Linked DNA regions of Mytilus edulis. The protein of the gene in region 2 interacts with the protein of the main gene of each other region in a pairwise test. Links are inferred from orthologs where the notes say so. Each region holds a gene or a part of one and is shown on either strand. Other genes may lie near its edges.

Evidence for each region. The genes of interacting proteins can lie anywhere in the genome.
Region 1: the proteins of nuclear factor erythroid 2-related factor 2-like (region 2) and kelch-like ECH-associated protein 1 interact in binary tests that used the Homo sapiens proteins (3 or more experiments, as listed by UniProt). The link is inferred for Mytilus edulis from reciprocal best matches to the Homo sapiens genes NFE2L1 and KEAP1.

What each region holds. Positions count from the first base shown.
Region 1 is NC_092344.1:32,807,648-32,814,771, forward strand, and holds the start of kelch-like ECH-associated protein 1, read right to left. Parts: upstream 3,020-7,124; 5' UTR 2,870-3,019; intron 1-2,869. Other genes in the region: dystrophin-like, read left to right, coding at 3,105-3,159, 5,117-5,177, 5,864-5,925, 6,666-6,740. UniProt on the Homo sapiens protein: Substrate-specific adapter of a BCR (BTB-CUL3-RBX1) E3 ubiquitin ligase complex that regulates the response to oxidative stress by targeting NFE2L2/NRF2 for ubiquitination.
Region 2 is NC_092345.1:73,244,217-73,251,445, forward strand, and holds the start of nuclear factor erythroid 2-related factor 2-like, read right to left. Parts: upstream 3,010-7,229; 5' UTR 2,760-3,009; coding exon of another isoform or gene 2,709-2,759; 5' UTR 1,883-2,708; coding exon 1,304-1,882; intron 1-1,303.

The DNA.
Region 1 (7,124 bases), on a different chromosome or scaffold from region 2:
GGACACAGATGATGCTCCAACTGCATATCACGTTATAAAGGGACATAAATGCAGAACAAGAAAAGAGATCCAACCCAAATTTGAACTTGATCTGTGTTTTATGTTAATAAGCTAAGCATTGTGAAAAAGTTTATTAAATAATATTTGGTTGATAACCAACTAAATTTTGATATTTTTGGGACGTACATATGGACAGAAAAGGGTATCACTTAATGCCCCTCTGCTGCAGTGGGGGCATAAAAACACAAATAGTTTGTACCAACCTCATACAATTGTTTAAAAAAATAAATAAAAATTTTACAAAATACCTCAAAGCAAAAAATATAAAACAAAGTGGTGAATCAGGGCCTTATTCTAAGAAGGTAAAAGTGATAAAGAATTCTATGTTTTCATATCCACATACATTTTGACATATGTATCATAATCATCATTATCATGCATGAAACTTATTCCTGAAATATCCTTGTATCTTCTTGCATTTTTTCTTGACAAATGCAAAGGAATATAATTGTTGCTTACACATCTTTGATTCAAACCATTTTAAATGTACAGTGTAGTACAAAATGTATATAAAAGTTTCAAATTTTTCACTTTTTCTTTGTAATTTTTATCAAAATTCTAAAGAAACAGAAATTGCTTGGTTCTATATATATAATACATGATAATTAATATAAAAAAAAAAAGATGTGGTATGATTGCCAAGGAGAAAAATCTCCACAAGAGACCAAAATGACGAAGAAATGATTAACTATAGGTCACTGTACGGCCTTCAACAATGAGCAAAGCCCATACTGCATACTGCATAGTTAGCTATAAAAGGCCCCGAAATGACAATGTAAAACAATTCAAACGAGAAAACTAACGTCCTTATTTATATAAGAGGCAAGCAAGTCTTTGCTATCTCAATTACTAATATACAAGGTACATACATGTACATGATATATGACATTATAAATATTTAAGTTTCAAAAATAAACTGATAATTCAGTGATATGTTTTGCCTGCCAGAAAGATAATTCTTATTTAGAAAAAGAATGATGGACCTCAACATTGCAAATTAATTGGACCATGACACAGAGGGCAAAACTTAAAAATAAACATTAAACTGAGATGTACTGATCCTCGGAATCAAAGTTATCCTTTAGGATTTTTTTATAACGCTGTGCCCTGTTTTCTCTATTGCTGACATCAGATGACACTAAAATAGTTTTTGACATTCTTCAAGTCACATTACTTTAGTGCAATAAGCAACAAATGGTATAAACTATTTATTGTTAATGTTATTTTATTAAAGCACAATTTAAATGATATGGGGTATTTAGCATCACGAAGCAAATATCTCCACATCACAATTTCCCATATTTCCACAAATGACCTTGGGTACAAGGCTTTCCAGATGTGACTGCCATACTTCCATATCATCCATAAGATGTGCCACATATTCCATAAGAGTTGGGACATATTGTTCATACATTACAAGTAAGGTTGTTTCGTTCATACTTTAAGACCCGTTGGTAGCCTTCGGCTGTTATATTCTCTTTGGTCGGGTTATTGTCTCTTTGACATATTTCCCATTTCCATTCTCAATTTTATCAAAGAATTTATTCCATTGTGGGGATAACTTAAAATATAACAAAGCAACAGGTATTAAAAATGTATTTCATTGTTACATCTTTTCAAGGTATGGCCCATACAATGTACATTTGTACATTCTTTGGACGTAGTGGCAGTATGAATGTTGCATCCAGCATTTTGTTCAACGGGGGAGTTCATTCATAATAATGAAATTGGAATCTCCTGTATCTCAAGATATCAATAAAAAGTTGGTGTTTCTTTATAAAAATAATTCTGTGTGCAGTGTAAATGACGTCATTGTACTGAAAAATGCACAATTTCAAAAGTTATCTGTAAATTGCATTTGTGTATAAAAAATTCTAAATTGCACAATATATCCATCCCTAAATAAAGCACACTGACCTTGTACATGTTGTTATAAGCTGAAGGAAACTGGGATCCAGTAATGCAAATTTGATCAAAACTTGAGAAATGATGTGAAAAATAAGTCTACAAATGTATGGTCATGAAAGAAAATATTTTGCCCTGTTTAAGGTAAAGTTCTAAAGTTAGAACAAGACAAATGTTTAAAAAACATGAAAAAGCATGTCCTAGAAACACTGCCAAGAAATTTTGACAATTATCAGACAACAAATATTATGGAAAACAATTAAAAACAATGTGTTGAAATACCAACATGTAAAACACAACAATGTTAAAAAAGTGATCTAGTGGAACCAGCTTGAAGCACAGGTGCTTGGTACCAAGGTGCTTGTTTTAAAATAGTGGGTCAGACCAGGTTTTACTGTCAACTGCACACTTTTTACTGTCAACTGCATTCGTTATCTTTAAAATATAAATTGTTTTAAGTAAGATAGCAACAGCCATTGACAGTAAACTTGCCAGAATATTCATCACTTTGAATGTGGGCAGTATTTGGAAGAAGAAGAAGAAGAAGAAACCTTGTCTACCCCACTAAACAAGCCCCTGTATTTGAAAACACTGTAGTGCCCGCATCAAACCTTGAGAGCTTCAAACTGACCTCACGCGCCATCAATAAATCGACTTCGCTCTCTCTAACTTAGTTTTAAAGACAGTATTGGTATCAACAACCTACTCGTACAGATGCAGATATGAATCAAGCGTTTAGTCTTTAGACTTTTTAATTGCATGAAAATTCTACAGAAATTTATAGTGAGGTTTACCAGTTTACCATCCCTTTTACTGTTTTAGTTTTACTGAATGAGTTTTAGTGGTTAGGTCTAAGGATGCAGAACAAAATTTACAAGGATGAATATGAGATTCAATATCTTACCACATATTTATCTTAATTGTCAGTCCATTTTCTCTCTAACTGTTGTCTAGATTAGTATAATCAAGAATCTTCGATATGTTGCTGATCTAAAATTCCTAACCGGAAGTCGATTACTGTGTCAACATTCTAGGTCCCAAGTACGCTTCTAATAACGTGTTTACTAATAAAGCGCCTTTGTGACTGTTTTAAGTTTAAAATAATCAGAAAAAGTGAAAATGTTTACAAAAACTGTCAAATGATTCACCCTAACAGCTGCTGTGCCTTAAAAATGGAATCTGTTGATATTTATGGTATTGCTTTTGATTTCAAATTTGAAGTTGACAACACTAAACTGCAAAAACAAGCAGATGGATGTTCTCAAACTTGTAGTTTGTTATGTATCACTGTGTTTGTGTTTCAGTATGATAATCATTGTCAAATTAATTTTAAGTGTATGCCCCTTGTCCTTGAGGGTCCATGATTGAATACCAGTCTCCACTCTCAAATACAGACCTAGCACCCTAAGGCTTGTAAATTTCCTTTTGCCCAGTCTGCATGGTAAGCCACTAGTAAAATTTTATTCAGACTAGTGAGTTTTTGTAAAACTTTGTTTGGACAAATAAGAAAAATGTCAGAATATTGGTCTTCGGACTAGTAGCTGAAAAAGTTTTTGGTGCAGACTGTTTGCCATACCCCCACACTCTACAGGCCAACATAAATTTGTGATCTAACTAAATTACAGTGGAGAACAAGGTGTCTGAGCAGCTGGTGATATCGCACATTAGCTGACTTCGTCATATAGGGAATGTAAAACAAATATTTTGTAATTGCCAGATCTATGGAGTCCATACAAAAATCACATTTCCTTTGTTGTGACAAACATTTTTTTATTGTTCCATCAAATTTTTACAGGATCCTGTGATATGTCCAGTTATGGCAAACAAATAACAATAAGGTGTAAAGAAACCATTAACTTGATTTTTGGAAGATTATTTCCTTATTTTAATTTTTTTATTACTAGAAAAAAATTGTGGAACTTAGGTGGCCGAGTGGTTTGAGCAATCGTACTTCTGTTCAACATAACTACTTTACCCTCTTGCTGCCAGTTGTTTATCAAGGTTGCATTTTGTGTGTTAGATAAAAGAATGTACAGCAGCTCAATGTTTATGACATTAGATGTACAACAATCATGACAATGACATAATTTGATACATGACCGTTACATTTAGTACACATTGATTAAAAATATAACATGGTTTAATCTTTGGTCTTTGAAAAAGATACAGCTATGAGGAGAAGTTTGTGAAAATTAAAACAAGGACATATGTGTCCCTCCGGCACAGTCTGTGTGTACACATGTGTCCTTCTGGCAGCAAGAGGGTTGAACTAGCCTGAGAGGTGGTGAGGTTCATGTAGAATCCTGCACATAGCAGGTGCATGCACTTTACTCCTCTCTTCATTAACAAGAATTGTGAGTTTTCCTTTCAAAGGGTAAATGTTTTCTCAAGTACTCTGGCTTCCTCAACTATCAAAAACTAACCTTCACGAAAATGTAAAATAGTGCTGAAGACTAGTACATTAAACAGCAATCAATCAATCTAACTTGGAAGTGTCAAATCTTAGCAACAAAGGCTTACTCTTAATAGAAGTGAATACAACATTATGTCAAATATAAAAAAGAAGATGTGGTATGATTGCCAATGAGACAACTACCCACAAAAGACCAAAATGACACAGACATTAACAACTATAGGTCACTGTACGGCCTTCAACAATGAGCAAAGTCCATACCGCATAGTCAGCTATAAAAGGCCCTGATAAGACAATGTAAAACAATTCAAAAGAGAAAACTAACAAAGTTCATAATAAGAATTTGAAAAGACAAAAACACATCTGGTGATGCATGTACCTGATGAGCTCCCAGAGGTTGTTTTGTTTGTTTTACTTATTATACCTAAAAGTAATCAGATATATACAAATTTTTTTTAACAAGTTATGACTGTTGATTAGCTCACGGTAGTAAAGTTTTAATAAGCATGTATGTAGCTTTTTCAATTTTCAAAAAATATCCTTGATTATTCATGAGGATTTTGCATGGCTGTCTACCAAATTAAATATATCTTATCTTTTTTATTAATGATATTTAAAAAAAAAAAACATCAAATTTATCTACATTTTCTTTAATCATCATGCATTTGTACTTATTTTAAAAAAAAAAATGGCAGTATATTTCCAGCATGTTCAGTTTATTTTGTTTTTTGTTTACAGAAAGAATTGTGGATGGTTGGGAGAGAACAGAGACAAAAACCGGTGTTCCATACTATATCTGGTAATATGATAGACTTGTTATTTAAGCTCCGAAAGTATCATCAAATAATTTTAGCATGCCAATGATAGTCGGTCAAGTATTCATTTTTCACATGTTAACTTTTGTATAAAGTTACAGGTCAGAAAATAATAATCTATTGTAAGGTACAAATCTAATCTGAGAGCAATGTTACATGCATGTGTTTGCATAAAATATTGTCACAATCTTTTTTCTTCAGAATTGCATAGTAAACAGTCTTCATATATGAATCATAAATATGATGAGTGCATTTCTATTCAAGGGAACTGCAAAAACTTCAATCTTCAAAGAGTTTGTATTTGACATTTATTCATTGCCTTTCAACTTAAGTTTCAAGTTTAATTTATAGTTATTATATGGGATGGTACTAACTTCTGTTTTACCACAATAACCAGATTTTTTATTACCAATTATAAATTAATTCTCTAGTGATTTATACTATGAAGGAGATGACAGGATTTTGAAATGAGGGTAAAAAAGTGGAGATATAAGTTAAAGGTGGTAGAAAAGTGGGATCTGGGATGAGAAAGGTTTAACTAAAAAGTGGGAAGTAGCCAATGGTGCCCCCTTGTCAAACCCCCTAAACTTTGTTTTAGCATATATTTTAGTGTCTAAGCATGTGATGTAGATATATAACTGTTTTAAAACTATAAATCATTTATTTACAGTCACAAATTACAAAGAACAACATGGGACCATCCATACTTGTTGAAGACAATGGAAGAATTGGGTAAAATTTTATAGATAGAACATATAATGATCAATGAACTAACACCATTTTTTCTGCACATTGCATAACAGAATCAATACACAGCGATGTGGTTATCATTATACTTTTATTAAACTGCAAACATCTTTCTTTACCACTTTATTCAATCTGACGATGTAACATGATAATTGTTAGTAAAAGTTTAATGAAGCTTGAAGAGAAGCTTTATCATATTTATTATAACCAAATGACAGAATTCACAGCAAAGTTTTGAAATTACATTTTGCATCTGTAAATTCAGAAATTAATGCATGCATTTATTATTGCTTTTTTTTACTTTTTTCAATTTTTAGAAAAATCTAGTTTAATTCATATCAAATATTTCAAAATGCATGTTTAAATAATTGCGTTTACAACTCTGTTGCATTTTCCCAATAATAAAAACTTTTCTGAGTTTACAGTATTCAATATTACAAACATTCACATGTATATACATTCTTTGATAATAGTTCTTCTTGGAAAGTTTTAAATCTTAGAAATAATCTTCAAGATCAAGTAGTAGCACCTACAGAACAAATATCAAACTTAAAAAAAATGTTCCTTTATTTTACTGATGAGTAAAGTTGGATTTTGATAAACAACTTTACAATTTTACACTGACAGTACGTAGTAATTGCAGACATAACATATTAGTTTTAAAAATTAGATTTATTGATGGAAATTTGATATGTTTATTAAGAGCATACCCAAATGTTTTACAGGAGATTACAGTCGTATAAAGTATGCTGCTTACAGAACAGCTTTCAAAATCAGACATCTACAAAAAAAATTCAAACGTAAGTATGAAATATTATTATAAACACAGGCCATAATCATGCTGGGGAAATGATGATTTAAGTCGCTTAAGAAGTCTTAACAACTGACTTACTTCATAGCGAAGTCAAATTGCTATCAATCTTCATAAGGGAGACAACTTGTAATGTACAAGTCGCACAGTCAAACAAATATGGTGACTAACAACACATGACTTAAACTGTCGACATCTAATGTAATAAATATAACAGTCACTATGAACATCTTCTTATTTAACAACTTTGCAAAGTTGATTAAAAATTGTGGTCTTAAAAGTCTTCCTCATAGAAAAAAGTAAAAATTCTGTGAACAAGGAACAAATTCTCTGTTTTATTCTGAGATTGTTTTCCAATTATAGGTTTGTATAA
Region 2 (7,229 bases):
GTCAGTGACTTGTCACTGAAACCAGAAACATGGTGCTTGCTTTTATCACTTGCTAAAACTTTAGCTCGGTTGGGATTAGGGCAAGCAACAATATCTGCGTATACTGACAGCTGAGTGTAGACGGATCAGAGGTGTATTTCCCTTTTCATTAGAAGTCATTGGTCTGAAAAAATACATCTACTTTCATCATCTGCCTTTTGCTTAGAATTCACCCCTTTGTTATTTGCAGAGAGCATGTTCATTCAGAATTAATAAAATCGAATATGGTTAAGATATTTGGTATACAACTTTTTAAAACAAAAATATTTTAATGAACAGCTGACCATTTTCCGTAGTTTGACATTTATTTTCGCTTCTGTGTGCATTATTGTTAAAACCTATCTTTGACAGGTAGATATAAATGAAACTTCGTTAAAGTTAAGACCATTCAAAGTATTTACTGGTGACATTATACAGAAGCTGCGGCAATTCCGTACCCGTGTTGATTGTCACATATTTCCCGCACGGATTCACGATTGATGTTCAAAGATTATTTTCTTTCTAAAAATATGACAGTTTGAGACGAATTTACCTTGCAAGCAACATTTTTCACTTTCAATTAAAATAAATCACTCCTTGTTATCGTTAATCAAAGTTTATTTAAATTTTTTCAACTAAAAATACTCTCATTCATAATTTTCATCGTAAATATCTTTAGAAATGTGTATTCAAATTTATCACATGTATTGAACACGTTCTTTGGTCGTGTTTAAAAAGATTCTTCTTCTCGACCAATGAAAAAAATCATTATTTAAACGGTCAAGTAATCACACACACAATGTGTAAATACAATGTATTTGCGATCTATGGTCATCTATTTCTTTCTGCACTGAAGTTTTTAAATTTTTAAATTTTCTTCTAAAAATATCTATTTTCTTGATGATAATTTACGCTATTACATGATAAAGAGTCCAATAAGGCTGAGATTAGCATGGCTCAGGTAAAACTAATTAACAGATATTGCGTAACACTGACCGACCTCTCAACGATGATCAGCAACTTGACAATTTTAACAAACATTTATTATGAAAATGTGAATATATACACGCTGCGGGATCAAGTATCAAGGGACAGTGGCCAATTAAGACGCTGCAGGATATACAAAAATATTATGAAGGCGCTGCGGCACCTCAGCTTCATATCGGCCTGGGGAGATCACAGTGTACATGGTTTTTTTATAAGATGAAAAATGCAAGGAGTATAGGTATTCAGAAGGAAATGTACATAATGCTTAGAAAATCTATTTTTAAAGAACTGTTCATACCTCCCTTGACAGACCATCAAACTGAAAGTCATATTGACTATTTACACTGGATGAGACAGAACTACTTGTGCTACATGTACTGTCAACACCAAGAACAACTTCTTCATATTGCACATTATCATTGCTATCTAAGTTCTGATTGTTGTTGCTTGATTCAACATCACTTTGGTCATCAGTGTTTGTTTCTGACTGTACATTATTATTGTTGTTTTGCTCTACAGCTGGTGCTCTTGCAATTTCTGGTAAATTATTCAAACCAACCAGAAATGTTTCTATTTGTTGAGCTGAATGAGATCTTTGCCAAACAGAAAAACGCCTTAAAGAACGTAAATCTTGAATAAGATTTTGATATGTCAAATCACTGTAAATTGATTTAGGATTACCACTGCCATAGAAAGAATTGATGTTGTTATTGATGAAGTTAGTTGGAGCTAATGCAGCTGATGATCCTAGAATAATTTCTTGCACTTCTGGGTAATTTACATAGTGAATGTTCATGTAGTTATTCAAGTCAGTCCTCAACAAACTCAGAACTATGGCAATTTGCACAAGTCCATCAACAAAGTAGTCTTTAAGCATCTTGTCGATACAACAGGAAGTACTTTGTGGAATTCCTTTCAAAAGTTGTGTACAATGGTTTTTTTCGGTTTCTTGTCCTTCACTTTGTGAATTTTTATCAATAAGCTGGTGAAAATTGCTAATCCATAATTTCTTATAATTTGGTAAACATCTCAAATGATTATTAGTTTTTAAATAAAGCTAATAACAACAATGCCTTTGTTCCCATTTTTAACAGGGAGCGCACGCGGCTGCCATGACACTGACAGCTACTACAGGGAGAAAATAGACCAGTTTCGTTAAAGTTTGATGTTATAAGTGTATAAATTGTGTAGTCTGGATTGTATTGATATATGTTTGTATCGATATTGTGCGAGATTTCAACTAAAATTCGTGCAACACTCTGTTTCTTCTAGAATCTTCATAACAAATGTGATTCAGCGAATTAGAAAATGACGTCAAGTAGTTCGGAATCCTCCAGATTTTTATTTGTAACAATAAAAAGTTCGAGATACTCCGAAGGACAACTTCCGCTCACCTTTACTAATTTGTTTCCGGGTAACAAACAGGTGAACCGAGAAATTGATTAAAATACAGAGCCTCTAATGACCTTTACGCTTCATTTCCCTCCCATTTATATTTCAAAAATCCAAAAAATTGATGATATAAAAAAATTGTCTAAAAATAAAGTATAATATGGCACACCGGTCATCACTATATTTCAATTGACATTTTACAAAACTGGGTCACACAAGATCACACAAATTCCCAGTGAAAATGTAATGAACCCTTGGATTAATATATATAAAGAAATTATTTCCATTAATAACTACAATAGCAAACTTACTTGTGTCAGAGAAGTATTATCTACCGACATAACAGGTTCTATTTCCATCATCTTCACTATTTTGTATCAATAACACACGTGACCTAATTCACAAGGCAATACACAGATGATAAAAACCTGATTTACTCCTGTTTTTCCTGTTCACCTGGGATTTGTTACTAATTGAAAATACATTGAATTAATTTGATAAAATCCACAGTTTATGTCGCGAAAAATACATTTCCAATATGTATAAAATTCATGTACTGTTTCACTTTGATAACACCTTAGACCTCTCAATACACCATTTAATGACAATCCTGACTATGTAAGAATTACAGAAAACGATTGGATAACAGTACCACGTGATAATTGTATTTAATATATACGGTTCATTGTTCATTGACAAGCATTGTATTATTTAGTTTTCGTTTATTTTCTGTGCATACACCAATATATCATCATTAGTTTTTCAAACCCTTGTTTTCATGAAAGATTCTGATTCAAAAAAGTTTTAAAGTTAATTATTAAAATTCTAAAGTCCCTGTGTTTAAGTTTTCGTCAAACATGTCACGGTGGCCCGATTCACACTTGGATTTGCTATTTTTATCAAAATACATTTTCCAATTCATTTACGGCCGTCTTATTATATTTTTTCTTCTTCATTGTAATCTACGTGGACAGCAGTATTTCAACTTCCCTTAATTAAGAATTGTCACAACCGTGTATAGTCTGGGAATAGACAAGTATACCTTTATTATGTCCCAGAAATAGTTTACTTTGATTCACAACGTTAGATATTTACAAAGGGAACATTAAAACTCATAACACTTGAATACCGAGAAGTTGTGCAAATTAATAATGGAGCGAATTCATATTTTCCGGGGACGTAGCTAGAATGAAACGATGTGCAAGCCTAGGAAGTACCGCCGAGCGGAGCGAGTCGAAAACTTTTTGGGACCCTTTTATGAAGAAATTTATTTTTTCGGTTCTCGGTCATAGGACGGTTAAAAGAGGAGCTATATGTAGATAGGACTTATAAAAAAATTATGAATGTAAAACTATTAATAAATCTTCCGAATAGAGTAATACATAAACAACCGACATATTTGAGATACAGAATTTACTCAAAATTGTTCAAAATCGGCTCTTCGGGTCTAGACAGAAACAAACTTCTCTATTACTTTGTCAATATTTACACTGAAATCCCGATGAATATGCAGTAATGCTAGTAACTGTCGTTGTTCATTGTTGATCGTACATTTGTTTTCAATATATGTAGTACACTGATAGATCTCCGTGGAAGCACTCGCGAGATGTTATAAACCAGCGTACGTGTTCGGCATCGAGCGACCTCCCAATTGAATTCGTCAAAACTACATGCCAGGTCAGTTTCGTATGTCCCAGACAATGTTGAGATTTGTTCGTTTGATATATTTCCTACAACACGATGAAGCAGATACAACGCAAAGAAGATTTTCTGGTAATACTAGACGCGACTCCACTCTGCAGTTCCCTTATCATATGGTCTATGAACGCACATGGCCTCGGCATATTTTCAACGATATCGAAGTGTTCTGATAATTCTATTGCCGATTGGTAAATCTCATTCCAAACTGATGAACCGTACACTGTAAAATGTGCTCCAAAACTACATGTCTTAGACTGAGTAATAAGTATTACAAATTCAAATCTTGTAAAAGATACAAGTTACTGTCCGATTTTGTCATACTCTCCAATATAACTTTCATTTTGAAACCTAATGCCGTTATTTGATGGTATTTAATGTCTTTCATCAATTAAAAAAAGTAACAACATAGCATGCCGAATCGATGTGCACGCAACTGCGTGTTAGCGTATAGGGAGCCCGGCGCCTGAATTTCAATCTATTCATAGTGGCTTTTGTGACATAAGGAAGAAAGTATCGCCAAAACGATATTGGAACTTTTTAGTACACATTTGATGGATTTTACTTGAAAAATAATATTATCATGGTACATGCAGTAATATTTTTCTAAATTTATTTCATTGAACTTGGCTTTAAATAACTTTAAAAAAAGAATGATAACGATATTGTTATTATATTTGGCTTTTCATGTATTAAATGATAACCATATACAGTATTGGTTTTGCTTGTTGGTGAAGGCATTTCCGTGTCATCTGTAATTGTTTTTATAGATGTGCTTACGTCTAATGCACGCTTCACTTTTTATTGACTAAGTGGCTCAAAAGAACGACTTTATGGCCCAAAATATCGAATATGAGCCTTTATCATCATTTGACGTCTATCAGTTGCCCGTCGTCTAGTTATATATACGTTCAAACAAATATTATCCTCGGACACCACCGAGATAAAACTGAGGCCACTTCCGAAATTTGTATGGATTGAAAATTGACAGGGAAAATTATCTTGTATAATTTGAAGAGACAACTGTAGTAATCGCTGTTCAAATCATTAATGCCATTAATCTATTTTGAAAATACCAACCATGACCAACAGAATAAAAAAAAACACCAACGCAATGGAGACTGCATGGTGCGTCGATAAGCAGAGCGCCTGATGCTGTTTATGCACCGTCCGCCACTAAATACAAATCCAGACTAGTTCAAAATAGGGAATATGACATGTTTTGTTGTTCTTGAGTGAAAATCTGAACAACTTCACACTGTTTCGGTAAACAGGATAATTTAGACTCCAATCTAAGACATTATTGAAAAAATCTTATCGTTTTCATTTGCCATGATGTATAAAATTGGTTCTTCGACAGTTATATGCTGCATGGTCTTTTCTCGCGCCCTAAGACCGTTTCATTGGCTAACGTTAACTTACTTAATACAAATTATCAGGTTGCCTGCATATTGAAATTGTTAAATATCAGCTTCAATTCACATTATAAAGCTTATCGTCGAGTTAGGGCAGGGCCTCAGGGTGTATGAATTTTCAAAACTGTTGTAAAATTCTGCATGTTTACATCCAGCTGATAACACCAAGAAAACTATACTAATATGAGTCTATGCTGGCAAATTGATCTTTTTGTTGTACAGGGGACTTCACCTTGCCCTTTATACTTCTTTGATTGGGAGTATGGACTGGGGCTTATCTCGCCTTTTCTTTTACCTTTTTGGTTTGAACAGGAGATTATTCGTTGTTTATTTTTACGATGCAACTCTCCGGCAATCGTATTTCTTGCAAAGTCCTGTTGTTCCCGATTCTGCTCTCACAGAAGAAAACGCTTTTGATGTCTGGCCACACATTGAAGCGTCTACCGATACAAGATCCCTTGCGAACAAACAAAATGTAGACTCGTTATCAAAATTCAAGTAGAATTTACAAACCACGACATTCGAAATGACAATATATCTCAACATTATTTATATGGTCCAAGAAAATTGAATATAATCTTAATACAATTTAGATGTTCGGCATCCTTTTAAATTGAATTGTGACTTGTTTAGAGCTAACATCATATGTGATCCAAAATGTAAATGTGGTTTGGATATTGAGGACATGTACCATTATTTCTTTGATTGTCCTTTCTATATCTTAATCAGTTAATAAAAGGGCTATATACTCTGTTTAATAGTCTCAGCTGGCTTCCCGAAGGCTGCGATTTGGACTAAAAACTATTGGGTTTTGGAAAAGAAACTCTGTCCTATGACCAAAATGTGCAAATTGTTAAACAAGTATTCAATTTCAAAATATATCAAAAAGATTCCTCGTAGTATAGTATCATATGTAAAACGCACATCATCATCATTATCATTTTCCTAATCTCTATCGTTCTCTCCTTTTTTCAGTATAGTCTAGAAATATTTAAGTTGTTTGTTATCATATAATGAATACTCACGTTCAATTTGTATTATTATATATATATTGTATTGTGAAGAAGACTTTATAAGTATGTTTTACTTGTGTCTGATTCATTTTTCTTTAAACAAATAAGATATATTTAAACTAAACTAAAAAAACCCCTGATCTGATCGTATAATTTTGTCCTTTTTCAATGTCTATGTATGCCTGAAATGTAACTGAATGCATCTGGACATACATTTTTAAATAGGGAGATGTGATACGATTGTCATTAGACAACATTTACTGTATGGTTTGTTACACCAGAGTTCTTTTTGCGTGGATGTCAAATGAAGATGTATGTCTTTCCCTTTTAAATTTAGTATGTTTATTGTACTCTGTGTCTGATCGTTTTTTGTTGTTGTTTAATATCGTCTCCTTGATTGGTGGCGGCCGACCCTCAGTACATTTTGAACAGGTGGTATAGTTTTGCAGATCTTTGACAACTTCTTCTGTATTCGGTAGATGTGGGTTTTCGTATAATGTGAATCAATGATATTCAACTTTATCAAACGTTGAGTAAAAAACATCACTTTTCCACGGTGTCCATAGTTGAGACTTCTGACATGGTTGTGCATATGACCCATTAGACACGCTGAAGTCTCGCCGTTTATGATGTGTTGCACGAGAAACTGGGTGCCAAATTAGATTAGGTCTAGTGTCTCGTCATAAAATTGATCAAAGGCACCTAT